4 linked regions of the Arabidopsis thaliana genome follow. The protein of the gene in region 2 interacts with the protein of the main gene of each other region in a pairwise test. Each region holds a gene or a part of one and is shown on either strand. Other genes may lie near its edges.

Region 1 (7,585 bases), on a different chromosome or scaffold from region 2:
ATATTCTGTATGTATTTTAAAGAATTGCATGATTTTTGTAAATATATCATGCTATTTTAGACAAATACATATAAACTTTATAACTAAAGCCAATGGCATTATTGTAAAAATAAGTAAACACAAGGATATTTTTGTATTTTCTCTTTTTCAGAAAATGTTATTTACCTAACTTTTCTGACACAATGTCATTCTCTCAATTCTTTTCCATTTCATAGTTAGTTTCTAATATTACCCATATTTTTATATACATAGAGATCTATATTTTTATAATTTAACAAAGACCAAAAAAATTTGGCCAAACAACAAATAAATAAGGAAGACTAAGAACTTGTGAATTGTGATCATCGTTAACGTGGGGAAGATTTTCTTGCGATTATTATTCCTAGTCTTATTTATTTATTTATTTCCACTATCAATTTAAAATGACACGTAAATTTGTAATGATTTTTCGAATAATGTAAGCACTAATTGATATTGGTGTTTTAACTTTTAACAAAAGAAAACAAAGATCTACATATGGGCCTAAAGTAAAAGCCTTTTAGTTAAGTACATTATAATTGGGCTTTATATCTTAACAACGTCGAATCAATTGTAGGGCCGACGTGGGCGGCTAAGCTGTTTCCAACTTTCCAACTTCCGACCAGCTCCACTTGTGTCTTTCGCTCTCTCTACACTTATGTTTTTTTTTTTTCAACTCTCTGTTTTGTCTGACGTGTCCACTTACTAATAATTTTTGAAAAAACTTTCCACATATAAAAATTGCTTGATGGTCGTCGTCGATGGCTGCATTATTTATGAATGTATTAGTCCACATGGTGAAATGTCTACATTTTAAACACCACGTGACACTGATAATCCGACACTTGTATGTGTGAAATCAATGTAATGATCCCTTACTCTTTCTTTTTTGTTTTTCTTTCAATAGAACAAAAATATTGCGAATTTATCTAATAATGTTTCTGTAATACTAAAATTATTTTAAAAGTTTTTATTTAATATATTGTTAATTTGTCTAAATTTTGTCACGACCGTTTTTCTTCATGAATAGTCTTTGACGTAGTTGAACATCCATTTTGTATACACTGTTATAAATTTGCACACATTTTGTGTTTCAACAATTTTTAAAAAGTATATATGTAGTGTACAACTTTACTTTATTATTGCTTTACTTTTTTTTTGTCTATTGTCGTTGAAAAATGACATCAAATGAATCTGTTGCCTTCCTTACGTAGGAAACGTTTTGTTGAAATAGTAATAATTAGTAAGGGTCATTGTATATTGGTGGAGAAAATGTTTTTCTTACTTCTGTAATTGCATCGTCTTTTCTTCACGTAGGGTAGGCAATCACATGCATTCAGGCGTGCGTTCACTGTTTTCTTTTTTCTTCTAGCTTTTTGTTTTCCTACTATATTGTTGCAGAAAAATGTTTAGTTTAAACTAAATTAATTATCCAACTCTTTAAAGTGGCAATCTTGTAAATAAAAAGGGGAGTAGGTCTGGACCAATGTGGCAATGCGAGCGATATGTTAAAAAAGCTGTGGAATAAACAAAATTTTGGAAATTAGGAGTTCCTTTCGTTTTATGGAATTGAAAGAAAATGACACTTTCAATATTTTTTTGGTATTTCTTTAGTAAAAAATGTTTTAAATTTTTAATCGATCGAATCGTAATGAACCTTACAAAAAAATCATAAAATTTGAAGTTGATATATAAATTTTAATCTAGAGATGTTAACTTTTTGGATTAATCTGGAAGCGACCTGTTTTAAGTTGTTTCAAAACTATTAGGACCGAAACCAAATAGAATCGAGCAAAAAATGTTAGAAATTTTTATTTTATTTTGTGTTCTTTAGGTTAACCAAATGTTCGTTCATGGTGTAAGATATCAAATAATGGATGAGCTTAACCTCTAAAATACAAGTTTAAATTGATCGGTTCAAATCGGACCGAACTTAAATGATTTTGCAAGTTATTAGAGTGATCATGATCATGTTATGTTACGGAATATTACAGAGTAACTTAACTTAAGCACTGACTTAGTTGACCCAAAAAGAGACCATTGACTTCATGAAATGCTTGAGTGTGGAAAAAATAAAACAGAGTTATTCAAAAACGTTTTGAGTTGTGAATTATTCTCATTAACATTGTATTTATTTGGTGCACAAAAAAAAAAAAAAAAAAAATTGTATTTATTTATACCCACTAAAGATGGGAAGAAGACTTGTAAATTATGATGAAAAGTCCCTCGGTTGGTAGCAACTAGCAAATGTGGGGATGGAACAATCCTCCACGTTCGAAATTGTTCTTCTTTAGCACAATCAAGATACTGCAAAGTAAACTACCTCTAATGTAATTAATTAACCTCACAAATTGTTATGTTAATTAATGGTATTGAATTATACTCGTCGATCTTTTGTAAGATATTTTTGTTGAATGCCGAAAAAATTATCAGAATCTATAATTGATGTTTTTGTTTAAGAGTCAATTTGGGAGAATGAGTTAAATTACTATAGAATACAAGTATACATCACATCAAATAATATGAATAATTCACTAAACAATGAAGGAGTAGTTACTAGTCACTCTCTTTTATTTATTTTTAATTAAAAAACGAATATATATGTTATTGTAGTTTAATACTATTAATAAAATAAAATTCTATTACTTCACTTAGCTAAAAGACCCACAGTGCAGTAACAGTGAGAAGTAAATTTCATGAATAATGTATTACAATACAATAATAACTTGTTCGATACAAAGTATTATTCCTTTCACAAACTAAATTTATTTACCATATATCCATAATATAATTCCAAAAATAGTATGTTTTATTACCATATTGTAAAAGGGAAAAATGTCATTTAAATCATCACTTTACCATTTTCGTTGGTTTAAAACATAAACTCTCGATTTGGTGATTTAAATCCTCAATTTTATGTTGACGTTTAATTTAATCACGAATTCTCGTTAACTAAGCCAATTAAGACACATCGTTAAAAAATTTTCTAATTAAAATTTTTGAGTTTTTCTCTATTTTTCTTCAGAATCTCTTATCTTCTTTGGAATTTCTCTTCTTATTCGAATTCAAAGTAATCTTTCATCTTTAGGTCGATTGACGATACCGGGAAAAAAAATTGTGTCTCAATTGGCTTAGTCAACGAGAATTTGTAATTAAATTGAAAATCAACATCAAATTAAGAATTTAATTCACAAGATCCAAAATTCATACTTTAAACCAACGAAAATGATAAAGTGATAATTTAAAAAACATTTTCCTTATCCCTATTGTAAAACTATTTTCACCAATCTTAACCGAAAAAATGAAATAAAACTGTCCAAAAAAAAAAAACCAAATGCTAATAAAAAACGAATTTAATTTCCCATCTTCGTTTTTTTTCTTTCTTTTAATGCTTTAATAAATTTTTATTGAGATCTGTGTTTGAACAATCGTTTCTTAAAAGATTTTTAACATCTTTTTAAATTCCTCGGTCTCTTAAATTTACCAGTTACATAACTTTCTTTTATTTTTCCGACATAAATTAAAAGTTTTGTCTTTGGTAATAGAGAGGCAGAAAAATCTTGGCCATAGATTTGTCATCTGTTTTCGATTCGTTTTGATTCTTTACTTTATCTTCTTCTTCTTCTTCTTCTTCCTCTTTTTGAATCTTTTATCTTCTCACTTTTCTTTTTCACTTTTGGGAAGCTCGAAGAGCTGAGAGGAGTGTGAGAGAGAAAAGGATCTTTGAAGTCGCCGGAATAATTTGTTTAACCGGAGCTCTGTCTTTGACTCTACGCTTCTCTCTCTTCTTCTTCCTTCTTCGTCTTCTTAATCGCTTTCTGCTCTGTTTTTCTCGTTCATCAAGCTACATCTACTAGCTCTCTCAGTGATTGATTTCTCACAGTTTCATCGATTTCCATGCGTTTAAGACCTAAAAGGTAACTGGGTTTGCTAAAGTTTGTTACTTTGAATGGTTTTTATAGTTTCTCTGTTCGAATCTGAAGTGGGTTGTTGTGTTTTTGCTGGTTATTGAAACAGGACTTGTTCTGGGGTAAAGGACTTTTCTTGTTCTTGAGAGAGTTCATTTTGAGGCTTTTCTGGGAATTTTGAGAGGTTTTTTAGGGTTTAAGGGGGTTTGGTTTTGAATTTCGCACACCAAGTGTTCGATAAAATGGCTGAACGAAAGAAACGCTCTTCTATTCAAACCAATAAACCCAACAAAAAACCCATGAAGAAGAAACCTTTTCAGCTAAATCACCTCCCAGGTTTATCTGAAGATTTGAAGACTATGAGAAAACTCCGTTTCGTTGTGAATGATCCTTACGCTACTGACTACTCATCAAGCGAAGAAGAAGAAAGGAGTCAGAGAAGGAAACGTTATGTCTGTGAGATCGATCTTCCTTTCGCTCAAGCTGCTACTCAAGCAGAATCTGAAAGCTCATATTGTCAGGAGAGTAACAATAATGGTGTAAGCAAGACTAAAATCTCAGCTTGTAGCAAAAAGGTTTTACGCAGCAAAGCATCTCCGGTCGTTGGACGTTCTTCTACTACTGTCTCGAAGCCTGTTGGTGTTAGGCAGAGGAAATGGGGTAAATGGGCTGCTGAGATTAGACATCCAATCACCAAAGTAAGAACTTGGTTGGGTACTTACGAGACGCTTGAACAAGCAGCTGATGCTTATGCTACCAAGAAGCTTGAGTTTGATGCTCTGGCTGCAGCCACTTCTGCTGCTTCCTCTGTTTTGTCAAATGAGTCTGGTTCTATGATCTCAGCCTCAGGGTCAAGCATTGATCTTGACAAGAAGCTAGTTGATTCGACTCTTGATCAACAAGCTGGTGAATCGAAGAAAGCGAGTTTTGATTTCGACTTTGCAGATCTACAGATTCCTGAAATGGGTTGCTTCATTGATGACTCATTCATCCCAAATGCTTGTGAGCTTGATTTTCTCTTAACAGAAGAGAACAACAACCAAATGTTGGATGATTACTGTGGCATAGATGATCTGGACATCATTGGTCTTGAATGTGACGGTCCAAGCGAACTTCCAGACTATGATTTCTCAGATGTGGAGATCGATCTTGGTCTCATTGGAACCACCATTGACAAGTATGCTTTCGTTGATCATATCGCAACAACTACTCCCACTCCTCTTAATATCGCGTGCCCATAAGTTTTGCAGCTAGGTGTTATTATTAGCTATAGGAGCAACGTAAAAAGCTCGTTGTTACTCGGTTTTGTCTTAAGTTATTAAAGTATAGCAGAGGCAGTTAATCTCAAGGGAAGCAAAAACCCTAAAGATAGAAGCAGATGCAGTTTTGTGTGTTGGTGTTACTAAAGAAAGTTTTGTTGACATAATGGTTTTGATGTTGTGGAGAAGATAGAGAGGTGTGATCGAAATTGTAAATCTCAGGTGGTTTTTTTTGAAGGCAATTGTTTCTCATTTAGGGTTTTTTTCTATATGAGGATTGTCTTTGAAAAGCCTTTAGATGTTTTCTAATTCGTAAGCTCTCTCAATCTTTGTAAGTTTTGCCTGTTGAGTTATTGATACATATGTGAGACCTACTTTATTTGTTTTGTGCTACATACATTGTTGATGGTTTCGTCCTCTGCTCTTGTTAAGTCATTGTTACCAATGTTTGATTGCTGTTTCTTTCGGGTTGATTCAGTCAGACATGAAGATAACTAGATAAACCGTTTGTTCTCTGCAATCACTACCTATAGAGTTAGGGTTTAGGCTTATCCTCTTTTTGCATTATATCAGTAAAGTTTTCTTTAAAAGTTATGTGAACAAAAACACATAATGCAAGATAGAGAGGTTAATGGGTTTGGTTGATGATAACAGTAGGACAAATTATCACCGCTCTAATTGCGTTGGTTCTTAAACCATTTCTTTTATAATATTTAATATTTGATCTAATTTTCTTAAAGCAACCTTTGCGTATATTACAAGTCTTGCCAAAATTTTCAACTAGTTCCATCTTTGATATAAAGAGTATATAGTGGTGTGTTCTTTTGTGTCAAGCCATCTCTCAACTTCAGACTGTAGCTGCTTTTGGATTTTATTAGTTTCGTTTTAGTGAACAGAATTATGGATATACATTGAATTGAACGTGCATATTCATTTTGTTTTTGTTTTTTCAACAAATTAAAATGAATTCTAAGATGTTTTTGTTTTTTTGTTAATTGAATTCTTAAGATGTTGACAGAAAATAAATTGAAGTCTTAAGAATAATTGATTTGAGATTTTAAGACTTGTACTTTTCTTTGGAGATTGGAGATTTGACATGCTCGAAGTCGATGTATACAATTTGGTTTTTTATCAAGTGTCATTCTCATTCGATGGAGCTTTTTTTTTATCAAAAACGTGGAAATTAGTGATTTCTAATGATCTGAAATAAAAATTGGGTTTACTTCCATGGTTTTTTTTTGGACAAAGGGGTTTACTTACGATCAAGCAATCAATTACATAGTTATTCTGGATTAGTCATTTGGTAATATTTAGCATCTTATGAAGAATCTTAAACACGTCCATTATACAACTAAATATGTTGCACCATTTGATGGAAAAAAAATATGTTGCACCAAAAAAATGATCCAAGATGTTGAAACTTGAAAGAAAAAATCGAATAATAATAACAAATAGGCTTTCTGGCTTTCTATGTTACTGAAAGGCCCAATGCACGTAAACGGAGAGCCCACATTACAAATTAATAATTTTTGTTGGGCTAGTGAGACCATAACGCTATCATACGTTGTAAATCTGTACAGCAAGTTAACAATTACAATAATAATCAGATTTTACACTCTTTTATAGATAAGTCATGGTCAAGACTCAAGAGTCAAGAGTCAAGACCAACAATCAATGGCCTAGCTTGTACAACAAAAGACTTAAGGCTATATAGTTTTAATCAATTAGAGTCACATAATTCACAAATATCAACGATTATACAACGGTTGTTATTGAGTAGTTAAAACATGGTTGATATAGATTAGTGAGAAAATATTGATTGGTTGACAATATATGAAAGTGAAATTATCAAAATGATATTATACATAAGTTTTTAAAATATATCCAAACTCATTTTTATTATAATTAGAAACTTTTTAAAAAATATAGACCGTATGTGATCTATTTTTATGAAACTTAATAACAAAATTTATTTGAAAATATTAGATTGTAAAAAAATAATTATTCATTCTGTAGTTTCCGGTTAAAAAATGTGCAGAAAGATGAGTTTTTAGTTTGTGGGTTCAGTAACATTATAAGCTAATATTTTTTTATTAGTTGATTACATATTATTCAAGGATTACATATGTTGATGAATCCTTTAATTTACTCGTGTTAACAATAATCCGTAATTTTTTAAGACGTGAGGGATACATAGGAGAGATTTCCATCGAGATGCATGGTTGTTTTTGATTCCCTCACTCCTGATAAGATAAACTAGAATACGTTTCGACGTCAAAATATTTAAAGATTTGCTTAACTGAAAAATAAAGAGAATTTTGTGGAATAGGTCAGAACTATATTTTTAAATTAGCTAAAGGATATTTTTAATATAATTTTGTTAATGGTCAAAAAGACCTA
Region 2 (7,981 bases):
ATTCTCACAGTTATTTTTATTAATGCTTGGAGACGAATGGTCAAAGTTTGGTTTTATTTTTTTGATAATAATGAAAGTTTAATTATCAAGAATTTTGCAGAAATCAAGAGAGAAGGTTGAAGACAGCGAAGCAAATGTTTATGTACACAAGAGACGCATAAATATATAAAATACAGCGAAAAAGGTAAAATTGGGTCTCTGGCTTTTCCTCATATTTTCAATTGCTTCTCTCTTCTCTCTTCTATAGCCCCATTGTCGTGGGTTCCCACTAGCAGCTTTCTTGTCTTCCTCCATTTTCTTTTCCTTCATTCTACTAAAACAGAGGTTTTTGCCTCTTCCTCTCTTGTTTCACTCTTTAGGGTACACACAAATTCACTCTTTTTTCTTCTTTGTTTGGGAGGGGAAAAGTTACAGTTTTTTCCTCTGTTTTGGATCAAAATTTCGTTTTTTTGGTTGTGTTAAGAAAGCAACAGAGAGAGAGAGAAAGATTGAAACTTTGGATGTGAATTTAGGGTTTTGTGAATTGGGGAAAAAGCAATCCAGAGATGGCTCAACAGAGACAATTTCAGATGGAAGGTGGTAATAATAATACAACAGATACCAAGTTGACGAAAATCTTTGTTGGAGGATTAGCTTGGGAGACTCAGAGAGATACAATGAGACGTTACTTTGAACAGTTTGGTGAAATCGTTGAAGCTGTTGTCATTACTGATAAGAACACTGGAAGATCTAAAGGATATGGATTTGTATGTTCCTTCTTCTCTCTCTCTTTTTCGTTTCTTTGATGATAAAGTTTCTCTTTTTCTCTGAAAAAATCAGTTTTTTTATTTGATTAGGTCACGTTTAAGGAAGCTGAAGCAGCGATGAGAGCTTGTCAGAACATGAATCCTGTGATTGATGGAAGAAGAGCTAATTGCAATCTTGCTTGTCTTGGTGCTCAAAAACCTCGTCCTCCTACTTCTCCTCGACATGGTTTGAATCTCTCTCTCTCTCTCCTCTCTTAATTCCAATGGGAACTAGCTTTAGGGTGATTGGAAAAATCTGATCTTTTTACTTGATCAACACGTGAAGAAGTCAAGAGTGTTGTTTTACGATTCTTGGTGGAAACTTGATTTCCAGGAACAGGTAGATTCAGATCACCAGGATCAGGAGTTGGATTAGTTGCTCCTTCTCCTCAGTTTCGAGGCTCTTCTTCTTCCTCTGCTTTTGTTCATCAACAACAACAACAACACACTGCTCAATTCCCATTTCCTTACTCTACTTACGGGTAAGAATACATAATCATCACATTAAATAACAATCCATTCTGATTAGTGTGCGTGTGTGTGTGTAAGCAAAACTTAAAATGCTTGTGTTTTCTTCTTCTGCAGGTTTTCTGGTTATTCTCAAGAGGGAATGTACCCAATGGTAAGTTCATTTTATAAATTTGTAGAGTCGTTTCCATTTCACTGATAAATCTTTGAAGTTCTTATGTTTGTGTTTTTTGTTTGTTTGCAGAACTACTACAATCATCATCTCTATGGAGGACAACAGTTTTCACCATATATGGGACATCCATCAGCAGGATCAACAGGAATGTTCCATGGTTTTTATCCCTACTATCCTCAATACAATGCAGCACAAAGTAGCAATCAAGCTCAAGCTCAAGTTCAAGCTCAACATCACCAAGGTTTCAGCTTTCAATACACTGCTCCTCCTGCTCCTCCTCTGCTGCAATATCCTTACTTGCCTCACCAGCCACACTTCAGTTCTCAGCAGCAATTTAGCTCTCAGCAACCTCCTCCTCCAATCCTCTCCCTCCCAACCTCTCTGGCTCTATCTTTACCTTCATCATCATCACCGTCCTCTTCAACTTCCACCTCAGGTTTGATTTCACAACACAATCTACATTGAAAACCATTTGTCACATTGTTTTGAATCATGCTTGATTCTTTGTTTTGTTTTGTATTAGCTGCAACAACAGCAACAAAAACAGTAGTTATAACTACAGCAACAAAGAAAGCAGAAACTGAAGCTAGCAGCAAAGATGGTAATGAAGCAATGACAACATCAACCATCAAGATAGAGGGTTGATTCAGAACTACTACAATAGCCAGAAGAAGGGACAAACTTCATTGTACACTAACTCATCATCAAATCTCTCCAACAACGTTCTAGAAACATTCATTCATCCATCGTTTTTAGGATTCTAGAATCTTAATTAGTACTTAGGAGGAGGAAGAAGAAGAAGAAACCATCATCACATTCTTTCTTTTTTTTTGTTGTTGTTTCAAATTGCATTTTAGGTAAAAGAATCAAGAGAAAGCATTGGTGGCTTTCTTTTAGATTCTTAAGAAAACTTGGATTGGTGCAGAAAGCATCATCAGATTATTACATTCATTTGGGGAATTTTATTTTTCAGGTTCAAAAGAAATGTTTTATGTCTTCTTTTGAACCTAAACAGGATTTTTAAGCTTCGGATAAGCTTAAAATCATTTCTTTTACATTTGTAATTCTTGAAATTGTTATAATTCAATCACATTGCTTCTTCTTACTATATTTGTTCGTTTATTATGATTATAAAATGTTTGATCAACCAAGAATCCGTTCATCGATCACTTTCACCTGGAGTTTTCTCGTGTTTTATAATCATAAAAAGATTGAACCTTTTTGATAATTATTTTGAATTCGTATGATCATTTTCTGAGAGTAAAATGATTATTGTCTTTGGATTCCAAAGGGGATCTTATGAAGACAAAAGTACCGGTCAAAAGACCGTTGGAATCAAACGGATCTTTTTCTTCGTCAATGGATAATATTTCACTTCTACTATTCTTTTAACAATTTTATAATAAAAACCAAACAAACAAAACATAGAGAATACATAAGTTATGGGCTTTTGAAAATCTAAGGCTTAAATTCTTATAAAGCCCATTAATTTTTATATGTGTAAGTAAGTTGGCCATAGAAAGCTTAAAGCCTTAGATATGTAAACACGCAAGAATATGGTAAGTTGTTTATTACGCACTGTCCACATCATAGATCGATAGATATTCTTTCCACGCAAAGCAAAGTTTTATTAAGATGGTTCTAGAATTCCTTCTTATCCACAGAAAATTTTTATATTCAAGAAAATCCAATTTTTCATTTGGAGTCGAAATTTACGCGGCCACTAACGAAATTTGATTTAATTAAAACTAGTGGGCATTTAATATTTGAAAATAATACTATTTGTTAAATCCCAATTGAAAATTTAATAACATTTAATATAATTAACTTTTTTGAAAAAAGGAACAAAAAAAGCCATCCAATTTGAATGATACATAGAGCAGCTGAAAAAAAAAAATCTACCTTTTAGAATTTATTAAATCCAACCAAAAATCAAACTTAGCCACACAATTACAATAGAAACCCACGTGTCATCCACATGACCACTAGATATTCAGACGAATATCTCCACTTCCGTAGAGCGATTAGGTTAATGACACGTGTTAAGGTGGACCTGCGAAGCAGAGGACCACCTCCACCGAATCAGCCGCGATACAGAGAAAATCAAAACAATGGCTCATATTAAGCCACGTCAGCTCAGTGAAGGCCCGCTTTGTTACACACCGTTAATTAGATTTCTCAAATTGTTTATTTGCTCTGAGCTTATACAACAAAGTCTTCTTCTTTCTCTGAGAAGATATTTTCGTGGTTGTGATCGAAAGATACCAAACTAAAGAGTTTAACTTTCTTCTTCCTTCTTCTTTACTTCAACATCTGATATTTTCTCTCTCTCTTTTATTCAGTCTGAAACAATATTTCTCGGTAGATTAAGATCTAAAGCTCGTTGATCTAGATTCTTGTTTCTATTTTTGTGTGTTTTAGGCTTTGTTGGTTTTACCAAGTGTTGTGATTCAGTTTGTTTTGAGGTCTGAGTCTATGGGGGAGATTGTGGTTTTAAGTAGTGATGATGGTATGGAGACTATAAAGAACAGAGTAAAGTCATCGGAAGTTGTTCAGTGGGAGAAGTATTTGCCTAAAACTGTACTTAGGGTTTTGTTAGTTGAATCTGATTACTCAACTCGTCAAATCATCACTGCCCTTCTTCGTAAATGCTGTTACAAAGGTCGATTGGTCTTTCCTTTCATTAGCTTATGTTAAAGTTTTCATTTTTATGTTTTGATGTTTGAAATTAAACTCGGTTCATGCTTTTTGATTGAATACAGTTGTAGCTGTTTCTGATGGTTTAGCTGCGTGGGAGGTTCTAAAGGAGAAGTCACATAACATTGATCTTATACTAACAGAGCTGGATTTGCCATCTATATCTGGTTTTGCTCTGCTTGCTTTGGTAATGGAGCATGAAGCTTGCAAGAACATTCCTGTCATAAGTACGATGGTGATCCCCTAAGTCCTTTATACCTCTAAAAACGCCTCTTTGTTAGTTTTTTGGTTCTTATGCTTTTGTTGTTTGTTTGAAATGAATAGTGATGTCTTCTCAAGATTCGATAAAAATGGTGTTGAAGTGTATGCTGAGAGGTGCTGCTGATTATCTAATCAAACCAATGAGGAAAAACGAGTTGAAAAATCTATGGCAACATGTTTGGAGAAGACTGACTGTAAATTTTTTATTTCCTTTTTTGAGGTTTCCTTGTGTTGAAGTTTGAAACTTGAAAGACTTATTGTCTTTTTTGGTTATGGATCAGTTGCGTGATGATCCTACTGCTCATGCTCAAAGCTTACCAGCTTCACAGCACAACCTTGAAGATACTGATGAAACTTGTGAAGATTCCAGATATCATTCAGATCAAGGAAGTGGTGCTCAGGTATAATAAATATTACCATCTGAGTTTTACATAATATATGTTCTGGTCCTTCTGAATTGTGTTTTGTATGAGTTGTGAGATTTTCATCTTGAGATTGCATTGTATATCTCATGTTTATCTCATTTTAGTAGAAGCTAATATCGTGTACATGCTTATGCAGGCTATCAATTACAATGGTCACAATAAGCTGATGGAGAATGGCAAATCAGTGGATGAAAGAGACGAGTTTAAGGAAACTTTTGATGTGACAATGGATTTGATTGGTGGAATTGACAAGCGTCCTGATAGTATTTATAAAGACAAGAGTCGAGATGAGTGTGTTGGTCCTGAGCTTGGACTTTCTCTGAAAAGATCTTGCTCTGTAAGTTTTGAGAACCAAGATGAAAGCAAGCATCAAAAGCTTAGCCTCTCTGATGCGTCGGCCTTCTCAAGGTATGCATGTTTCCTTGCTTGAATAAAGAATGCCTCAAATCTTGTAATTAGTGTTTTTAATCAATAACTCTACTTAACTTGCAGATTTGAGGAAAGCAAGTCAGCAGAAAAAGCCGTCGTTGCTTTAGAGGAGAGTACTTCAGGTGAGCCAAAGACACCAACCGAATCACATGAAAAGTTAAGAAAAGTAACATCTGATCAAGGAAGCGCCACAACGAGCAGCAACCAGGAGAATATCGGATCATCAAGCGTAAGCTTCCGTAACCAAGTTCTTCAGTCCACAGTAACGAATCAGAAGCAAGATTCACCCATACCGGTAGAATCAAATCGCGAGAAAGCAGCTAGCAAGGAAGTAGAAGCTGGTTCTCAAAGCACCAATGAGGGGATTGCTGGACAAAGCAGTAGCACAGAGAAACCAAAGGAAGAAGAAAGTGCGAAACAACGTTGGAGTAGAAGCCAGAGAGAAGCTGCATTGATGAAGTTCCGGTTGAAGAGGAAAGATCGATGCTTTGACAAAAAGGTAAGAGACACACAAGCTTCATCATAAAAACAGCATCTGAAACAAATACAAGATCAAACTGATTCAATGGAGATGTATAAAAATGGATTACAGGTTCGGTACCAGAGCAGGAAGAAGCTAGCAGAACAACGTCCTCGAGTGAAAGGCCAGTTCGTGCGAACCGTGAATTCAGACGCGTCTACAAAATCATGAAGAGCTCTTTCAGTTTTTCCTCTGATTTCTTTTGTTGATTTTATAACAGAAACTTATTTAGCTTTTGCAATCTTTAGTGTGCTTTTTTTTTTTATGTATTTGATTGGCTTCTTCTTCTCAGCTAATATGAGATACTGGGGCAACTTTTGTATATATGTCTGCAAATGATCAGGCTAAGCTAAAACAGTAATTCCAATTTCGTTAAGTTGAGAAATATTTCTTGTTGTGATCATATCCAGGCCGCTTCTCTCTCGATACATACCAACAAGAAACAGATTCTATAAAACTTGATTTATATACCATTGCTATAGTCTATGTATTAAAACTCATCACATTAATTCTCTCACAGTCAGAGAAACAAAAAAAGGAAACAAAAGCTATCGAAAGAAAAATCAACAAAGAAATCTTTTTTTGTGACCGTTAAACTAAGATTTTGTGACCGTTAATTGTGATTATCAGTTTCCTTTTCTTTGCTTATAAATAAATAATTAGTGAGAGTCTCAACGCTTCTTCTAAAACATTCGACAAATCAAAACTCTCTATCTCTCGCTTCTTCTTATTCTTCAACCCTAGTTCTCTTCTCAAGACAATTTTGTCTTCAAAGAGGAGACTACAAAGAGGAGGATATAGCCAAGAGAGGGGAGAGCTTTATGGTGGTGGATGATGTCACGAGAGGGCTACCAAAGACCGACGGGCTCAAATCTGACTTTGGAATGGGCTTTGCTCTATGGGCCCTTTTTGCTACTAAATCCAACAAGGTATTACTTTTTTCATTCTTTTTTTTTTTGTTTTATTTACCTTCAAAATTATTTTTAAGTAAAACTAATTAGTTTCACCATAACATTTATATAACTAAAATGTTTATATATTTTCATTAGTTTAAGTGTAAAATGTTTTTACACCTATATTTTATTATAACTTTAGATTTTTTTTATATAGATAAGTGTTAAATTTTTAAATTTTGTGTAAACTAATTGGATACATCATCCAAACCCCTAGGAGGTGTGCCAGGTTCAATATATGGTTTACACATTATTTAACTTTTTAACACTTGTTTTGCTTTTATTAAAAATGTTTTTAAACTTACATATTTTCATATTACTATTAAATCTTTAAGGTATTTTTATTTGGATAAGTGTTAAATTTTTAAATTTTGTGTAATCTAATTGGATACATCATCCAAACCCCTAAGAGGTGTTCTAGGTTTAATATATAGTTTACACATTATTCAACTTTTTAACACTTGTTTTGCTTTCGTTAAAAATATTTTTAAACTTATATATTTTCATATTACTATTAAATCTTTAGGTTTTTTTTTATTTGGATAAGTGTTAAATTTTTAATTTTTGTGTAAACTAATTGGATACATCATCCAAACCCCTAAAAACTGTTCTAGATTCAATATATGGTTTACACATTATTTAACTTTTTAACACTTGTTTTGCTTTTATTAAAAATGCTTTTAAACTTATATTTTTATACTACTATTAGATCTTTAAGGTTTTAAGGTTTCATTTATAGGTTTAATATATGGTTTACATATTATTTAAGTTTTTAACACTTGTTTTTCATTTATTAAAAAATGTTTTTAGACTTATATTTTTACATTACTATTAAACCTTTAATGTTTTTTTGGGATAATTTTTTTTTTTTAATTTTGTGTAATCTAATTGAATACAAGATTCAAACATGTAGGTGGTGTTTTAGGTTTAATATGGTTTACAAATTATTTAGGTATTGAACACTTGTTTAAAAAAATAAAATTAAATCTTAGTTTAAGTGGTAAATTTTAAACACGTTGAAAACTAATTGCGCCTAAGCATCTCGTACTTAGTTGGTCCGTAAGTTTTGGTGTTCGAAGTTTGGAAAGTTTTCACGTAATTTAACACTTAAACTTTAAAAAATCAGTTCATTTAAAACTTTTTGAAAATTAGTTTAAATGGTAAATTTTAATCACGTTGAAACTAACCGCACATAGATATCTCATATTTAGTTGATCCGTAAGCTTTGGTGTTTGTAATACTTATAATTAGTTTTTGAAAAATGTTGA
Region 3 (6,872 bases), on a different chromosome or scaffold from region 2:
CCCGACAATTTATAGTATGGCGCCAAGATTACGAAATCTCAAATACCTATCTTTTAATGGGAGAGTTTTAAAATCGAAAAACGAATATTTGATGAGAGTTTTATTTTATTTTTTGAGTCGTGCATTACAAATATCACTGTGAAAAATGTTGATCGATTTACATAAGAATCATAATCGTCCATTGGATATATAGACAATGTGATTTAGAAGGTTATATATTTGTTTGTCTAAAGAAAAAATAATATCTTCAATTATATGACACAGTTTACAATTCAGCATAGAAAACAATACAATAAGCTACAAAGGATTGTTTTAAATAGATTTTAAAACACCATATTATCATCTTTAAATTTTGGCTTCTTGAGATGGTCTGGATAAATAGAAAATTATTAAAATAAAAAACATTGTTAACTACTAATTTTATATTAAAAATACATTTATGGAATGCTTAAAGGAAAATGGGGAAATATATATAGACAGTAATACTAGAAACCAATCTGTTGGTCAAATATTTAGAGCCAGTATCCAAAGGGATTGAATGTATATTAGTATATATAAGATATCATAAATTCATAGAGAATACAAAATTCACAATTCTTAATACAAAATACTTACCTATATGAAACTTTTCAATTTTAATGCTATGAGCTTGTGCAATTTAAAAGGCTCTTATATCTAGCATATACTAATATAATGCAAAAACAAAAATGGTAAACTAAGTATTTTTATTCTATTCTAAAGAATGTCAAATTGTATGCTTTTAAATGTTTAAACAAAAATCATGGAAATTTGGTATTTTGTAAGAAATTGAAAGCGCCACAATTCTGAGCTATTTTAAGGAATTCTTCAATAATTTTGTTTTTTTAGCATTATCATATATGTATCAGAATTAATTAGTGAGTACTGGCAACATTTTTTCCCTTTTCTTTCATACTCTGCCAGCTTTTGTATTTAAAACTATGATATTTTTTTCTATATCATATTATGTGATTTGTTTACATTTTCAAAGCAAAATGTAATAATTTCTATATATTTTATGACAATGTGCATTTTTTACTTTATTTTTATTGGTTGGACTGTGATTAGATAAATCATAAAATATCTTTTGATTTAGTAAAATAAAGAAAATCATTAATTTCTTAATATGGAAAAATTTAAACGTTTTTATTTTGATACAAAGAGAGTAATTATTTTGTAAGTCTTTGGGCATGATAAGTTTTTAGTATTCAGGACTTGGTAGAACTACAAGAATCTCATTTAAATTCCATTGTAAAAACTAATTGATAAAACTAATACAAGTAAATTAGTATAAATAGGTTGTATTTTGTTTTTTTTAAAGTATAAATAGATCGTACGGAACTACTTACTGTTTTACTATTTGTTTATCTAGACCGATATATTTAGATACAGCTCCCCATGAAATTAAATGCATTAACAAATTTTAAAATTCAAACATACGCACCAATTAATTTAAAGCTATTATTTAAATATTTTATAAAAAAAAAATTACATGCTACGATTTTATACCATTAAAATAGTAAATTTACGTGCCTTAGAAAATGTCTATATTTGGTACTTGATTCCTATTTGTTTTCAAAAATACTCGCTTTATGTTTAGGGGTTATATTTTTCCCGCTTAAGCATACATCTACATTTGATATTTTTCTTATAGTAGACATGATTATATTTTTTATATTGATATTAATAATTTTAGGCTATCAAACAAAAAATAATTTAGGCAGAAATAACCATTTTATGGGCATGTTAATTTTTCTTTTTTTTAAAAGAAGTGACTATATATTTAAATAAAGAATCTGAACTAGAAATGGAATGAAACTCAAAGGAGATAAATAAGAAATTTTTACCATATCCTTACACAAAGAAATGTGTCGTTTAGCATGGTTTTTACAGGCCTATTATCACCACCCTTTCGCAGTCTCTTCTTATTTAATGCTCATAATATATATAGATACACAAACATACATACATACATGTCTCTATCTCTTCTCTCTCTCTGAAGGTCCCAATAGCTTCTTTGGTTTGAATTTGGTGGCCGAAGCAACACAAAGGTCTCAAGAGTTTTCTGGGTATATTCTCTTCTTCCTTCGATTTCTCTTTATTTTTGTTTTTGTTTTGTTTTGCTTTTACGTATATTGTCTGCTTGCAAATATTGTTTTTTGACTTGTTGGGTTTGGTCTATCTGATATTTTGTCCGATGGGTTCCATTTTCACTTTTGCAAGATCAAGTATTTCAGTAGTAATACGGACTGGATTGTTTTGTCGTTATATGCTTTGATAAGAATCAAAAGAAAGAAAAAGATCGATGCTTTTACTGTATAATCATTTGATGATAAACCATTAATCTTGTTTGTGATTTTCTTTTACCTTCTCTAAATATTTCTCCTATATTATGTACTTAATCTCTTTGGTAGTAGTTTTCCTATAGTATTTATTCAATCCCTTGGGAGTAATAACTAATGGAATTTGGATCTCTAAATCTTTGTGTTATTCATATGATGAATCTTATTTCACAAGTTAGATCTCTCGATCTTTCACTAAAAGTCTCTGTTTTTTTCTTTTGTGTTATGTTATTGCTAGAGAGTTTTAATTTAGATTTTGATAAATACGGCATTACTAAATGACGATGATTATGCAATTTTATTCTTAAAGTGAATCATAGTTGATGACATTATTTGCAGATTCTATGGATATGTATAACAACAATATAGGGATGTTCCGGAGTTTAGTTTGTAGCTCGGCGCCTCCATTTACAGAGGGACATATGTGTTCTGATTCGCATACGGCTTTGTGCGATGATCTGAGTAGTGATGAGGAAATGGAAATAGAGGAGCTTGAGAAGAAGATCTGGAGAGACAAGCAGCGTTTAAAGCGGCTCAAGGAAATGGCGAAGAACGGTCTAGGAACAAGATTGTTGTTGAAGCAGCAACATGATGATTTTCCAGAGCACTCTAGTAAGAGAACCATGTACAAGGCACAAGATGGGATCTTGAAGTACATGTCGAAGACAATGGAGCGATATAAAGCTCAAGGTTTTGTTTATGGGATTGTGTTAGAGAATGGGAAAACGGTAGCGGGATCTTCTGATAATCTCCGTGAATGGTGGAAAGACAAAGTGAGGTTTGATAGGAACGGCCCAGCTGCTATAATCAAGCACCAAAGGGATATCAATCTTTCTGATGGAAGTGATTCAGGGTCTGAGGTTGGGGATTCTACCGCACAGAAGTTGCTTGAGCTTCAAGATACTACTCTTGGAGCTCTGTTATCGGCTCTGTTTCCTCACTGCAACCCTCCTCAGAGGCGGTTTCCGTTGGAGAAAGGCGTGACACCGCCATGGTGGCCAACGGGGAAAGAAGATTGGTGGGATCAACTGTCTTTACCCGTTGATTTTCGAGGTGTTCCGCCACCTTACAAGAAGCCTCATGATCTCAAGAAGCTGTGGAAAATTGGTGTTTTGATTGGTGTAATCAGACATATGGCTTCTGACATTAGCAACATACCCAATCTCGTGAGACGGTCTAGAAGTTTGCAGGAGAAAATGACGTCAAGAGAAGGCGCTTTATGGCTCGCTGCTCTTTACCGAGAAAAGGCTATTGTTGATCAAATAGCCATGTCTAGAGAAAACAACAACACTTCTAACTTTCTTGTTCCTGCAACCGGTGGAGACCCAGATGTTTTGTTTCCTGAATCTACAGACTATGATGTTGAACTGATTGGTGGCACTCATCGGACCAATCAGCAGTATCCTGAATTTGAAAACAACTACAACTGTGTTTACAAGAGAAAGTTTGAAGAAGATTTTGGGATGCCAATGCATCCAACACTCCTAACATGTGAGAACAGTCTCTGTCCTTATAGCCAACCACATATGGGATTTCTTGACAGGAACTTAAGAGAGAATCACCAAATGACTTGTCCTTATAAAGTCACTTCCTTCTACCAACCAACTAAACCCTATGGTATGACGGGTTTAATGGTTCCTTGTCCGGATTATAACGGGATGCAGCAGCAGGTTCAGAGCTTTCAAGACCAGTTTAATCATCCCAACGATCTCTACAGACCAAAAGCTCCACAAAGAGGCAACGATGACTTGGTTGAGGATTTGAATCCTTCTCCTTCGACGCTGAATCAGAATCTTGGTTTAGTCTTACCTACTGACTTCAATGGAGGTGAGGAAACAGTAGGAACAGAGAACAATCTGCATAATCAAGGGCAAGAGTTGCCCACATCTTGGATTCAGTAAAGAAAGCTTCAGAGTTTTCTTTTTATGTTTTCTAGTCTTTATAGCTTTGTCTCTTGCTTATTCTCTCATTAAACACAGTTTTTGATCTCTCCATTTCATAGCCCATGTAGCAATGGAGAAGATTAGGTTTCATAATAAGTTAATAACCAAATTCAAAGTAATTCATTATGTGATTTGAAGAGCCTCTCTTTTTGACAAAAGAACAGTAGAAAATGCTTTATTTGTTTAGACTTTAGAGGTGTGTATTTGTGTTCGCCTTGGGCTTCAAGGAAGAAGGCGTTTGTAGACATTTTTAATATTAAATAATTTAAACTTTGTTGGTATGATAATATTTTTATTTATGTCTTTTTATTATGTCTTTTTATAGGGAATTGTTTTCTATAAATAACAGATTTTTTATGTGTTAAATTAATTTTGTGCCTTTAAAAGAGATTAATGGTTAAAAGATGTATTTCTATATAAATCTCAAATTGAAAAATCAAATAAACTAAGTTTGACGATATGCTATTTTAAAGTTAATATGAATAATTTCAGAAATATTTAAATGATATTTCGCATATTAAATTCATAAAATAAAACTATGTGAAGACCTTACTATATAAAACTATACCTTTTTCGGCAAATCAAATACTTATATTATAAAGAGTTTACAAGAAATATAAATATTTCCAATACAACCGTTGATACAAATAAAGAAAATCGAAACAATTGATTATAAAAGAAAAAAATTCAATGTATTGCTATAATTCACTATAATGATCATATTTACTTTTTTGAATCTAATGTTAAATTATATTCAAAAAAAAAATGTTCGTTGTACAATTTAGTGGTTCGTGAGTTTGAAAATAAATTTTAAAAAGATCTAAAAGAGTAAAAAAAAAAACGCTTGTAAAAGAGCAGCTTGGTTTGGTGACCTCAGGAGCTTAAACTCTAGCAAGGATCCATGCTTGATACGCTTTGTCGTACCGTCTATCTCCTCTTGTTCGAATGGTGGAAATATGAATACAAATTTGTTTATAAATCCATTTTGTGATAAGAGCCCCCGGATGTGGTTCCTTTTTGTGCCTTCTTCCATTCCTCTCCTTTCAAATTGTATAGACAGTGGTTTGTAGAGCATAGCGAGACAGATAGCTCTCCGCTCTACTTTGCTTTGGTTCGATACATAATCCAAGACTTGAGCCCAGTCGGTTCTGTACTGATTTTGAAGATGCCCTTTGTTATTGCCTCCCATATCGTCTCCCATATAATGATCACATCACTCATCTACAAATTTGTATTTATTCAAATGATCAAATCCTTACCGGTTTTTTCTTACCACTATTCCATTCCATGCTAGGATTGGCTGCATCCTCTCATTTCAGTCAAGTTAAGCTCTTTTGTCTATTACTTTATTTCATTCATTTTCTTCTTCAATATTTTTTTTTTTTTTTTTTTTTTTCTTCTTCAATTTTTTTTCTTGGCAAAAATGTTTTACATTGACCAATTTTTACATTCCGTATATTCTATTAAAACTTTCCATTCAAGGTTCCTCCAATTTCTTTCTCCATCTGTACTAATGGAAAATTTAATAGATAATCAACAAAATAATATATACTCATTAAATAATTGTTATTAAAAGAATCTCCAAAATGATATTTGGACGATATTCATGCAATCACGTCCTAATCTCCAAATATGCACTTTCTTTATCTTATAATAAAATGATTTACTCCAAATCCTTACTGTCACCAAATCAAAACCTTCATTTCATCTGCTTCGCATTATTTCTCTGATTCAAGAAAAATGACGGTCGAGAAACCACAAGAAATGACCGGCGATACAAACTCCGACGGATTCCTAACTAACAAAGACGTTCACAGAATAAAGCATCCATCGCTAGATACCAACGATAGTTCCTCCAGCCGATACTCCGTCGATTCTCAGAAATCAAGAATAGGACCACCGCCTGGGACTTACGTCATCAAACTCCCTAAGGATCAGATCTACCGTGTTCCTCCACCGGAAAATGCTCACCGTTACGAGTATCTCTCTCGCCGGAAAACAAACAAATCGTGTTGCCGGCGATGTTTATGCTATTCCCTCTCTGCTTTACTCATCATTATCGTCCTCGCAGCGATTGCCTTCGGATTCTTCTACCTCGTTTACCAGCCGCATAAGCCACAGTTCTCCGTGAGTGGAGTCTCCGTCACCGGAATCAACCTGACGTCATCTTCTCCGTTTTCTCCGGTGATCAGAATCAAGTTGCGATCTCAGAACGTTAAAGGTAAACTCGGTTTGATATACGAGAAAGGAAATGAGGCTGACGTGTTTTTTAACGGAACCAAACTTGGGAACGGCGAGTTCACGGCGTTTAAGCAGCCGGCGGGTAATGTAACGGTGATCGTGACGGTGTTAAAGGGATCGAGTGTTAAGTTAAAGAGCTCGTCGCGTAAAGAGTTAACGGAATCGCAGAAGAAAGGAAAAGTGCCGTTTGGTCTCAGAATTAAAGCGCCGGTTAAGTTTAAGGTTGGCTCCGTTACAACGTGGACGATGACCATTACGGTGGATTGCAAAATAACAGTGGATAAGTTAACGGCGTCAGCAACTGTGAAGACGGAAAATTGCGAAACGG
Region 4 (9,536 bases), on a different chromosome or scaffold from region 2:
TCACCGGTTTTCTTTCCTCTGGAGGGTTTGGCATTGCCGCTATAACCGTTTTCTCTTGGATTTACAAGTAAGCACACATTTATCATCTTACTTCATAATTTTGTGCAATATGTGCATGCATGTGTTGAGCCAGTAGCTTTGGATCAATTTTTTTGGTCGAATAACAAATGTAACAATAAGAAATTGCAAATTCTAGGGAACATTTGGTTAACTAAATACGAAATTTGACCTAGCTAGCTTGAATGTGTCTGTGTATATCATCTATATAGGTAAAATGCTTGGTATGATACCTATTGATTGTGAATAGGTACGCAACGGGAGAGCACCCACAGGGATCAGACAAGTTGGACAGTGCAAGGATGAAGTTGGGAAGCAAAGCTCAGGATCTGAAAGACAGAGCTCAGTACTACGGACAGCAACATACTGGTGGGGAACATGACCGTGACCGTACTCGTGGTGGCCAGCACACTACTTAAGTTACCCCACTGATGTCATCGTCATAGTCCAATAACTCCAATGTCGGGGAGTTAGTTTATGAGGAATAAAGTGTTTAGAATTTGATCAGGGGGAGATAATAAAAGCCGAGTTTGAATCTTTTTGTTATAAGTAATGTTTATGTGTGTTTCTATATGTTGTCAAATGGTACCATGTTTTTTTTCCTCTCTTTTTGTAACTTGCAAGTGTTGTGTTGTACTTTATTTGGCTTCTTTGTAAGTTGGTAACGGTGGTCTATATATGGAAAAGGTCTTGTTTTGTTAAACTTATGTTAGTTAACTGGATTCGTCTTTAACCACAAAAAGTTTTCAATAAGCTACAAATTTAGACACGCAAGCCGATGCAGTCATTAGTACATATATTTATTGCAAGTGATTACATGGCAACCCAAACTTCAAAAACAGTAGGTTGCTCCATTTAGTAACCTGAATTGCCTCCTGATTCTAGTTGATCCCCTTCAGGGGATATAATACATTGGATTTGGAAGTTTGAAGGATCTTTCTGACATTGCAGAACCCAACAAATCACTCCATTGGTCACCTGAATTGCCTCTGATCCTATACCCTTCTTTCACCATCTCCTCTCTCTTCTCTGACTTGTACATGGTCGCTGTTTTGTTCCGATCATCCAACGATCTATTAACATTAAGCAGCAAACCAAAGCGTCAATCATCCATTCAAACCCAAGATTACAATCCAAGATCAAACAACGTCATGTTACCACAACCATGGATCCAGATCAATAGTTGGTTAAAAACTGTATGAGCTACATTGTAATGGAGGTCCAAAAGTAGAGTATGCATACCTCAGAATAAGCTTGTCCCAGTTATGGAAACCGGCATTGCGCAGGTTTTCGACAGTGATAACCCGGTGGTTCTCTCTACGCCCTGTAAGCAAGATAACTTTGTACCCCAAATGTATAACCTTTTGGTAAAGCTTCAAGCTTGGTGCTATAGCAGGTGCTATCCCTTTCTCTACCCACATATCAAACTTTGAATGATCAAAAACTTCCAACCTGCAAATTCCCAAACAGAACAAACATTCACATTTATCATACATAGACAAACAAGCAAAGAAAAAGACAGACAACAACACATACCTCAAATCTTAACTAATTCGACATAGTAAAAAGACAAATCCATCTATACAATTATCAAGGAACCAACTTTTTATAGCAATGTTGTAAAATGAAAGATTTAAGATAAATTACCCACAACCGTGTTCCATGTAATAAGGAAGATTCGACAATAACGTCTCATCAATATCGAAAATCCAAATGTCTTTCCCGTCACCGTTAGATTCGAAGCTGCTCGCGTAAACCTTAGCTTCTTCGGAGACTCTCTCCACATCGACGACGTAACCTTCACCCATCAGGTAATCTTTCACGTAATCGGCGCATTCAGCTGGAATGGTTTTCCATGGAGCGAGATTGTTTGTCTCCGCCGCGAATCTCCAGCTCGTGCAATGTAGATTGACATTGTCGTTTATGTTCTTGAGCTGGGTTTCGAAGATCAATGGTCGCGCAATGAGATACGAGCTGGAGTTTTCATTGGAGAACGCCAGAGGAATCAAGGAGAAGAGAATGAGATTCACGAGAATCCGCATTGTATATCGCCGGAAACGCCGGGAGAAAAAAAGTTGAGATTTTTTCAATTGGGTCTTCAAGAGATTCAGGACATAAGCGAAATCCGAAGAAATATCAAAGAGAAGAGGAGATTTTCCATTCTCTAATGATGAGGAAGTGGATTATAAGAACCCTAGAAACAGTGAAACATTTCCTCTCAAGGTCCTTTTTTCAACGGAGAAATGAGGATTCTCGGAGAAAAGTTTCTGTTTCTTTTTGGGCAATGGAAAGGAAGAGAGACAAAAAAGACCAAAATACCAAAATGAAAAATAAAGGGCAATGGTTTTGTGTTCTTATTTGGAGGCAAATTAACGGATGGATCCGAATATTCGTTTACAAGATGATTAAGGTTTCGTTTCGGTTTATATTTTTGATTCAGCATGTGTGTAGTAGTAGTACAAAGCAAAACGTCTTGCCGTTTATATATCCACAAAAACGCTACACAGTTTGGCTTACTACTATCGTGTAGACCTCCATTCCATGATGGCTGTGTAAAGAGTATAATTGGGTAAAAGGTTCTTGCTATGCAACGGTGAATCCGTCATCGGCGATGTGTTGTGCTCCTTAAGCCACTCCTCTATCGCATGACGGTCGTATGTGTATCCGTCTGCTGCAACGCACGGCTCGTTCATCACGTCCTGCATTATACCACACAAGCTCACACATTTTCACCACAACACACTGAGATGAGATGTTTCAACATTGAACAAGGTTTTATATAGAGTTTACCTTAAGTAATGGGCAGATGAAATGAGTGGGAGGCTGTGTCGATACGCCGGAAAATGAGTTCCTTGCCTTTTCAGCTACTTTCTTTAGGTTTTCGAGCGCTGGAAGAATCTGATCTTTCAAATCAGGTCTATCTTTCCCGCGTAGCTCTGTACAACACAAAGCTAATGCGGCCAATTCCCGGGTTTCTTCAATCGGCCAGTTACCGGCTTTCTGATCTAAGATCTTAAGGAACTCATCATTACTATCCATTGCGCTCTCAACGAAATGTGTCAATGCAATAGCAGGTTTTGCTGTGAGAAGCTGAAGAAGAATCATTCCAAAGGAGTAGATATCTGATTTCGATGATATCCTTCCAGTGCGCTGATATTCCGGATCAATATAGCATAACGTTCCCACGGGGCTTGTTTGTTTGTATATAGTGAATTTAGTTGATAGAGGATCGACTTGAACCATCGTTGAGAGTCCCACGTCTCCAACTTTGCTGACAAAGTTGTGATCAAGTAAGATGTTTGCAGGTTTAAGATCACGGTGAATGATTGGTTTAGGCTTTGATTTGTGGAGGAAGACAAGAGCCGCTGCAACTTCCCAAGCAATCCTAAACCGCTCAAACCACGGGAGTGGCGGACTGTTGTTGACCTGGAAAAGTCTGTCCTCCAAGCTACCGTTTTCCATGTACTCATAAACTAAAGCACCTTGCTCCGGGCACGCTCCTAGAAGGAGAACCAAATGTGGATGCCTAATCTTGCTCAAGATTTCGAGCTGCAAATTAGAGAGGCCAGTGAGATAAATGTAGACTCTTATCCACAAGAATTGAAATTAAAATCAGAAAACTTCCATATAGTGAAAGGCACAAAATCTCAAACAAAGTTCCTTAAACCAAATTTGAGCTCACTTCCATACCTCTTGTTGGAATTGTTTGGAAAGTTGATTTTCAGCTGACTGCAAAACTTTGACAACTGCAGTTGTATGATGCAGATTACACTTGTAAACAGCTCCGTAAGCTCCCATTCCGATCTTCAGTTCTTCTGAGAATGATGAAGTGGCAGCCATAATTTCTTCCCAAGCAAAGTGCTGATATTGCAGCTGAGGAGACCCGAGAGTGCCCTCGAGCTTCTCTTTCTCTTTAGTATCACGTGCGGATTTCCTTTCGGCTTCTCTTCTCTGCGCAATTTCTCTCTCTGCTCTTTCTCTCATGCTCTCTGCATCTCTCCTTGCCTTCTCAAAATTCTGCTTTTCCTTTTCTGCTAACTCTCGAGCTTCATACTCCTTCAGCTTTAGCTCTTCAAGCTTTATGGCTTCTTCTAACCGACGTTGGTTAAGTTCACCAAGCTGAAACATTTTCAGAAAAGCATTGAGCACAATTTAATAAGTTTCATCAAATGCAAAGATATATGATATTATGAGGCCTTCACCTTTCGAGAAGCATCAAAGGTTTCGGTTTGAGCCACAGCATACATTTCTTGAACGTGTCTAAGCTCAGCTCTCAACTTCTCAACCTCAAAGTTTAGGTTTACCTGAACAAATAATCTTATATTATTCCGATTCACAAGACAATGTCGAAATTAAAACTCCATTTTATACCTGGTTGTCTGTATAGGATTGTTCACTTAGAGCATCAGACATGTTGGAAGCTTGTTGAGAAGCCCGAGAGTGTGTAGTATCGACACCCATGCCACTCCAACTAAACCTAGTACCAAAATTCCCGTATTCACGGTTGCTCGAAGAAGAACTCATAGCTTCTTTTCTCTCCTCATAATCTCTACGCCGAGGAGTCCAACGTGATGTAGTATCTGTGCTGCTTCTATTGATACTTGAAACATCTCTAGCTTCCTCTGCATCCAAAGACATGCACCTGGTTTCATCCGAGCCAACAGAACTCGTTTCCATTGGAACTGATGCCTGTCCTGCAATTGCAGGGAAATGTTGCATTCTCCTGACCGGAAGGGATAGAGGACGAGATTGAGAGTCATGCGCACTTGACATTACATCTGATGAATCTAGAAGAGAAAATGGGGTAACAGAATTAGATATACACACCATTTCTAGTAGAGTATTCACACAAATACATTGATGAGTCATGGACCTGAGGTGGGACCAGAAGAACCGCTTGAAGAATTTGTTCTCTCACTACCATCTTCTCTTATAGTAGCATTTCCGTCTGAGTCTGATGGTCGGACGCATGACAATTTACCTTTTGAAACAACATAGACTGTACAAAAGTTTGGCATCAAAGCTGATATCACCGAGCAAATATCAGCTTTCCTGGAATTTTCAAAACAGATTCATTGGTACACGGAATAGAAAGAACAAAGGTCGAAAGCTAGCAGCAGGGTGGTAGTGTACCTTGAGAAAAAACTACGGGATGAGCCTCCAATGACAATTCTGTCTATTGAATCCCGAGTCACTTCTTCAGCTATTGCGGCTGCCACATTATCTGATTCGATCACAAGAACTTCTACTGCAACCTTTCATTAAGGTAATTCAATGAGTTCATGTAACCTTGAAATTTTCATTAAAGAAGAGCGTAAGATATCTCATTATACCAAAGAAAATACCTTTCTCCGCACGAACAGTTTTGTGTAAGGTTTAAGCATTTCTTCAGACTGCCACAGTATTTCCTGTCTATATGCAGTTACTACATCATCTCGTACCTCGGAAATCGGGATTGCATTTCCCACTTGAGAAGGAGCAAGAAATGTACATCAGGCTTTTTATCAGTTACAATAAGTCTTGATTTTGTTTTACACAACAATACCAAATAGAAAAAAGGGAAACACAGGAAGAAGTCCTGAGTACAAGAAAGAAAGAAACAGAAATACAAGGCATAGTTGGAACTTTACTTGGTGTAGGTACAGAAGTAATCATTGGATGGATGTGAAGCAGCTTGAAGCCAACATTTCCTTCAGTAGCAAATTTTTCGATCGCCCATGTAACTACATATTTGCTTTTACTGCTCCCACTTAGAGCCACAACGACGGTACGAGATGGGGGAGGAGGAGGAGGAGGAGGAAGAGCAAGCTTGTCTGGTGATCTACTCATTGTTAATCTTTTGTGTTCTTGTTTCTATTGACCCTGCACACTACAACCATTTCAGACACTGCAAAACAATGTTCTAAAAAGAGTGTTTTGTTCCTAAAGTAGAGATAACATGAAAGAAAGGGAAAGCTAAAACTCTCCAGTCAGTGGGAATCAACAGACAGTAATTATATTTGAACTCACATAGCTGAATGTTGAATATCAACTCATCAAACCGAAAAGGCAAATAATAATAAGTATTGACAGAATCTAACGGAGGTATACCGATCATGAGATACTCTTAATAGCGTTGAAAGTCAAATGTCTCAGAGTCTAATTTGGACGACCAAAAGGATCGTAAAGCAACAACACTCAACGACCATCGAAGCTAACAAATAGCTAGCTTCTTATAAAGATAAAAAAAAAAACTCAAACTTTCCAATAAAAATGTCAACTTTGAGCACAATGCAATTGCAGAGAATTCGAAAGGTTATGAAACATTGATCAAGTCAATCAAAGGGACCATCTTCAGGGCATAGAGTTAAACAAGAAAACCAGAAATTGAACCTACCTGGTAAATAAAGGATGCGACTTTAGTCAAACCCAATACAAAAATTGAGAGAAGAAATGGTGGAAGCTTCCATTTCACAGAGCAATCAATTTCAGAAAATAAAGAGAGCAGCAGAAGAAGAAGATGAAGACCCACGTTGGTGCTGCTAATCTCAGATACAAACAATGGGTTCTTATAACCAGAGAATCTAAAAAAGATTTGAAAAGAAGCATCAAAAATAATAAGAAAATGAGACAAGTTGGTCATGTTAATGGTCAAAGGAGGATCAGTCCTGGGTATATACTCTTTTGTTCTCTCGCCTGAATTTTCTTCATTATCAGAGTGACAGAAGGAGAGTGTGTTCTAAAAGAAAGAAGTTTTCTCCAACCTTAGGCCTTGACTATTAGTTTAATCATAGTTTATCTCTTAATTCCCTAATTATTTGGTATTTAACTACATTCCTCAACGCCATTATTATATCGAGTTTGGCCATAGTTGCACGCATGATCTATGTCTTCCTCACGTCTTTTTGTCTCCTCCCCTTTATGCATAGTGGAGTGGTACAAGACTTTGGTAGAGTTCACCTACAACATTGGTTCGCATTTGAACCGTGATTTGGCCGGTTCAATTTAAACGCCGGTTTACGAGTTTTAACCTCTGGCTGATTAAGTAACCAATTTTGGCAAAATCCAAAGACGAAGGCAAAACTCTCTGGCTGATCAAGAGGATTCGATTAGGCTCTTTGACCTTGTCAACAAAGACCTTTTAGAATAAAAGCATTCAAAGTATCTATAGAAGCTAAAAACATTAAAAGTTACTTATGGAAAACGAATTGGCATGTCATTGTTCCTTGATGATTGATGATAAAAGGTGGAAAAAACTCGAATTTTAAACTTGTCTTGTCTCGACGCTAAAATCTTCATCCCCTGTAGTCATTCATCATGAAATATTCGATCAGGACACATTATTTTCAAATTTCAATTATCTAATATCTCTATAAACTTAAAATCTATTATTATTTTCTTATGTTGATTCTCCTTTTTTCCGTACGAAATGTCTTCCCACTTTCAAATTGGTTTTGGAGTTTTCATGCTCTTGAGTCTAGTATTCGTATTACTATTGTGTATTCTGAATGTAAACGACTAGTGTTCAGGTCAATATATCAATGATTATTTTCTCCATTCTCGTTTTGTTTGATGCAAAAACTAAAGAACAAATTCTGTCAAAAATATAAGAATATATATCAATATTGTGTTGCACTACATAATATTCTTTTTACTATGAATGGCCATCTTTTTTTAAGAAAAAAATGGACGAAAAAGGCAGAGTTTGTCCAATGAAAACTGGATAAATGACATTAGTAAATAGCAAATGACATATAATTTATTTATAACTTATTAATAGGAAATTTGCAAATGGGTATTTTCTTACAATTTGTTTCTTTTGTTGTGTGTGTGGTCAAGATCTTCTTTTAATACATGATCGAGTGTAGAAACTCTAATTATATGGCGATGATGAAATTTGATAGTGGAAGAACTTTTAAATATGATAATTTACAATGTTGAATTAGATACAAATATCTTAATTTATTAATGGCTGAAATGACTTGATTTATTAATTACATAAAGGTTTAAATGCAAAAGTAACCTTTGTGTACACATTTGTTTTGAATAGTTTACAAAGTTACTCTAAAATAATCTGCTTTGTAATATGAAAATATCATTTTTTGGTAAAGAATGATATTGAAAACATGTTTGCAAAACAACAGACTTACCTGTCAGATACATACACACATCAACTTAAACATAGTTTGACCACACTAAAAATGCCTATGTTCGTTGACATTCACGAACAAAAGAAAAACTATTTACCCATAAATTCCGTGAAATTTTTGTCTAACTATGATAAAAATCCATTATTTTGGATTAAAATTCAAATAAAATCCAATTGAAAACGCTACCGAAACTCAAAATGAAAAAGACCTACAAATATGTTTTGGTTTATATAAACCCATACATATGTTACACGGAAAAAAAGAAAACTACTATTACGTACTGGTTTTAGACTTTTAGGTTTTTAACCACATCCAAATTATCCAAATTGAATATGAAATTTTATGATTTGATCTATGTACACCTTTAGTTATAATAAAGCATAGTCTCTTTTTTTTTTATTATGTTTTTATTTCGTTTTTGGAAACTCATATGCTGACGTACCAAATAAATTTGGGATATATAATCCAGTATTGAAACAATTATTATTATAACAACAGTGGAGTAGTATTTTAATGCATTTAATGGAAAAAAAGAAAACAGAGTAAACGGATAAGCGTGTCGTGGAGAAGAAGGACCAAAGCAAAGTAAAGAAAGTCATATATTCCTGAAAATCTATAAAAGACATTTCGCATTTATCCACTTCCTCGATTCAATCAAAACTGCTTCAAGTAAAAAGCCTACGAAATAGCATCGGACCAAAAGACAAACTCACCGAGTAAACATACGCAACCTGTCGTGTAAGTAAAAACAATTTGATAGTGATCTCTCTATGTTTGGTGGAGGAAGAGGGCCTATGGGTGGCGGCGGAGGTATGTTACGCGCCGCCGGTCGTGCGATGACGAGGACCGGTGTAGCCAACGGTGGTATTCAAGATCCCTTTGCTTCTTCATCATCATCGTCCACGTCGTCTCCGGCTGGAAACGCCTCTGTTTCGCATGTCCAGAAACAGAGATCTTCTTCTTCTGGGTCGAATAATCTGACGTATTCCGCGGCTTCTGGGTTGTTGTTGAATCTTCCGGTGGCTGCAACCTCCGGATGGAGCGGCGGCGGTCCTTTTTCCTTTGTTAATTCTGGAGGTTATGATGATTTTGAGTGGGTTTCTGAGGAAGAAGATGATTCTCTGTTTGGCTCTGTTCCTTCTGTTGATGAAGTCCAAGATGCTGTTTCTGCTCTCCAGCAGTAATCTAATTTCTTCTCTTTTCTCATTTCACTTGAAAATGTGTGATTCTTTGGATGTGACTATTTGAGTTTGAGTCTTGTGGAAATTATTGTCATAAAATCTCATAAATTGATCACTTTTGAGTGGTAGGTATTAGTTCCCACGAGTTGTCTAAGTAATAGAGAGAGAC

What was found.
Region 1: the proteins of PRR9 (region 2) and CRF11 interact in a two-hybrid assay, tested with the Arabidopsis thaliana proteins (one large-scale study listed by BioGRID).
Region 3: the proteins of PRR9 (region 2) and EIL2 interact in a two-hybrid assay, tested with the Arabidopsis thaliana proteins (one large-scale study listed by BioGRID).
Region 4: the proteins of PRR9 (region 2) and AT4G25160 interact in a two-hybrid assay, tested with the Arabidopsis thaliana proteins (one large-scale study listed by BioGRID).

What each region holds. Positions count from the first base shown.
Region 1 is NC_003074.8:9,471,884-9,479,468, forward strand, and holds CRF11 (Integrase-type DNA-binding superfamily protein), read left to right. Parts: upstream 1-3,528; 5' UTR 3,529-3,935; exon of another isoform or gene 3,936-4,035; 5' UTR 4,036-4,168; coding exon 4,169-5,167; 3' UTR 5,168-5,707; downstream 5,708-7,585.
Region 2 is NC_003071.7:19,228,971-19,236,951, forward strand, and holds PRR9 (pseudo-response regulator 9), read left to right. Parts: upstream 1-3,636; 5' UTR 3,637-3,903; coding exon 3,904-4,090; intron 4,091-4,190; coding exon 4,191-4,352; exon of another isoform or gene 4,353-4,360; intron 4,361-4,449; coding exon 4,450-4,580; exon of another isoform or gene 4,581-4,658; coding exon of another isoform or gene 4,659-4,667; coding exon 4,668-4,787; intron 4,788-4,947; coding exon 4,948-5,219; intron 5,220-5,303; coding exon 5,304-5,739; coding exon of another isoform or gene 5,740-5,766; exon of another isoform or gene 5,767-5,832; coding exon 5,833-5,931; 3' UTR 5,932-6,209; downstream 6,210-7,981. Other genes in the region: AT2G46780 (RNA-binding (RRM/RBD/RNP motifs) family protein), read left to right, coding at 546-746, 837-972, 1,120-1,267, 1,371-1,407, 1,498-1,864, 1,952-2,073. UniProt on the Arabidopsis thaliana protein: Transcriptional repressor of CCA1 and LHY, and positive regulator of LWD1 and LWD2 expression. Controls photoperiodic flowering response and temperature compensation. Involved in the positive and negative feedback loops of the circadian clock.
Region 3 is NC_003076.8:7,179,925-7,186,796, forward strand, and holds EIL2 (ETHYLENE-INSENSITIVE3-like 2), read left to right. Parts: upstream 1-2,664; 5' UTR 2,665-2,683; coding exon 2,684-4,261; 3' UTR 4,262-4,418; downstream 4,419-6,872. Other genes in the region: AT5G21125 (uncharacterized protein), read right to left, coding at 5,124-5,504; AT5G21130 (Late embryogenesis abundant (LEA) hydroxyproline-rich glycoprotein family), read left to right, coding at 6,044-6,872. UniProt on the Arabidopsis thaliana protein: Probable transcription factor acting as a positive regulator in the ethylene response pathway. Could bind the primary ethylene response element present in the ETHYLENE-RESPONSE-FACTOR1 promoter.
Region 4 is NC_003075.7:12,900,784-12,910,319, forward strand, and holds AT4G25160 (U-box domain-containing protein kinase family protein), read right to left. Parts: upstream 6,814-9,536; 5' UTR 6,434-6,813; intron 5,920-6,433; 5' UTR 5,887-5,919; coding exon 5,688-5,886; intron 5,525-5,687; coding exon 5,403-5,524; intron 5,313-5,402; coding exon 5,191-5,312; intron 5,110-5,190; coding exon 4,931-5,109; intron 4,845-4,930; coding exon 4,429-4,844; intron 4,362-4,428; coding exon 4,260-4,361; intron 4,177-4,259; coding exon 3,748-4,176; intron 3,607-3,747; coding exon 2,848-3,606; intron 2,757-2,847; coding exon 2,577-2,756; 3' UTR 2,397-2,576; downstream 1-2,396. Other genes in the region: OLEO1 (oleosin 1), read left to right, coding at 1-67, 308-476; AT4G25150 (HAD superfamily, subfamily IIIB acid phosphatase), read right to left, coding at 953-1,130, 1,300-1,509, 1,705-2,099; AT4G25170 (Uncharacterized conserved protein (UCP012943)), read left to right, coding at 8,957-9,366. UniProt on the Arabidopsis thaliana protein: Functions as an E3 ubiquitin ligase.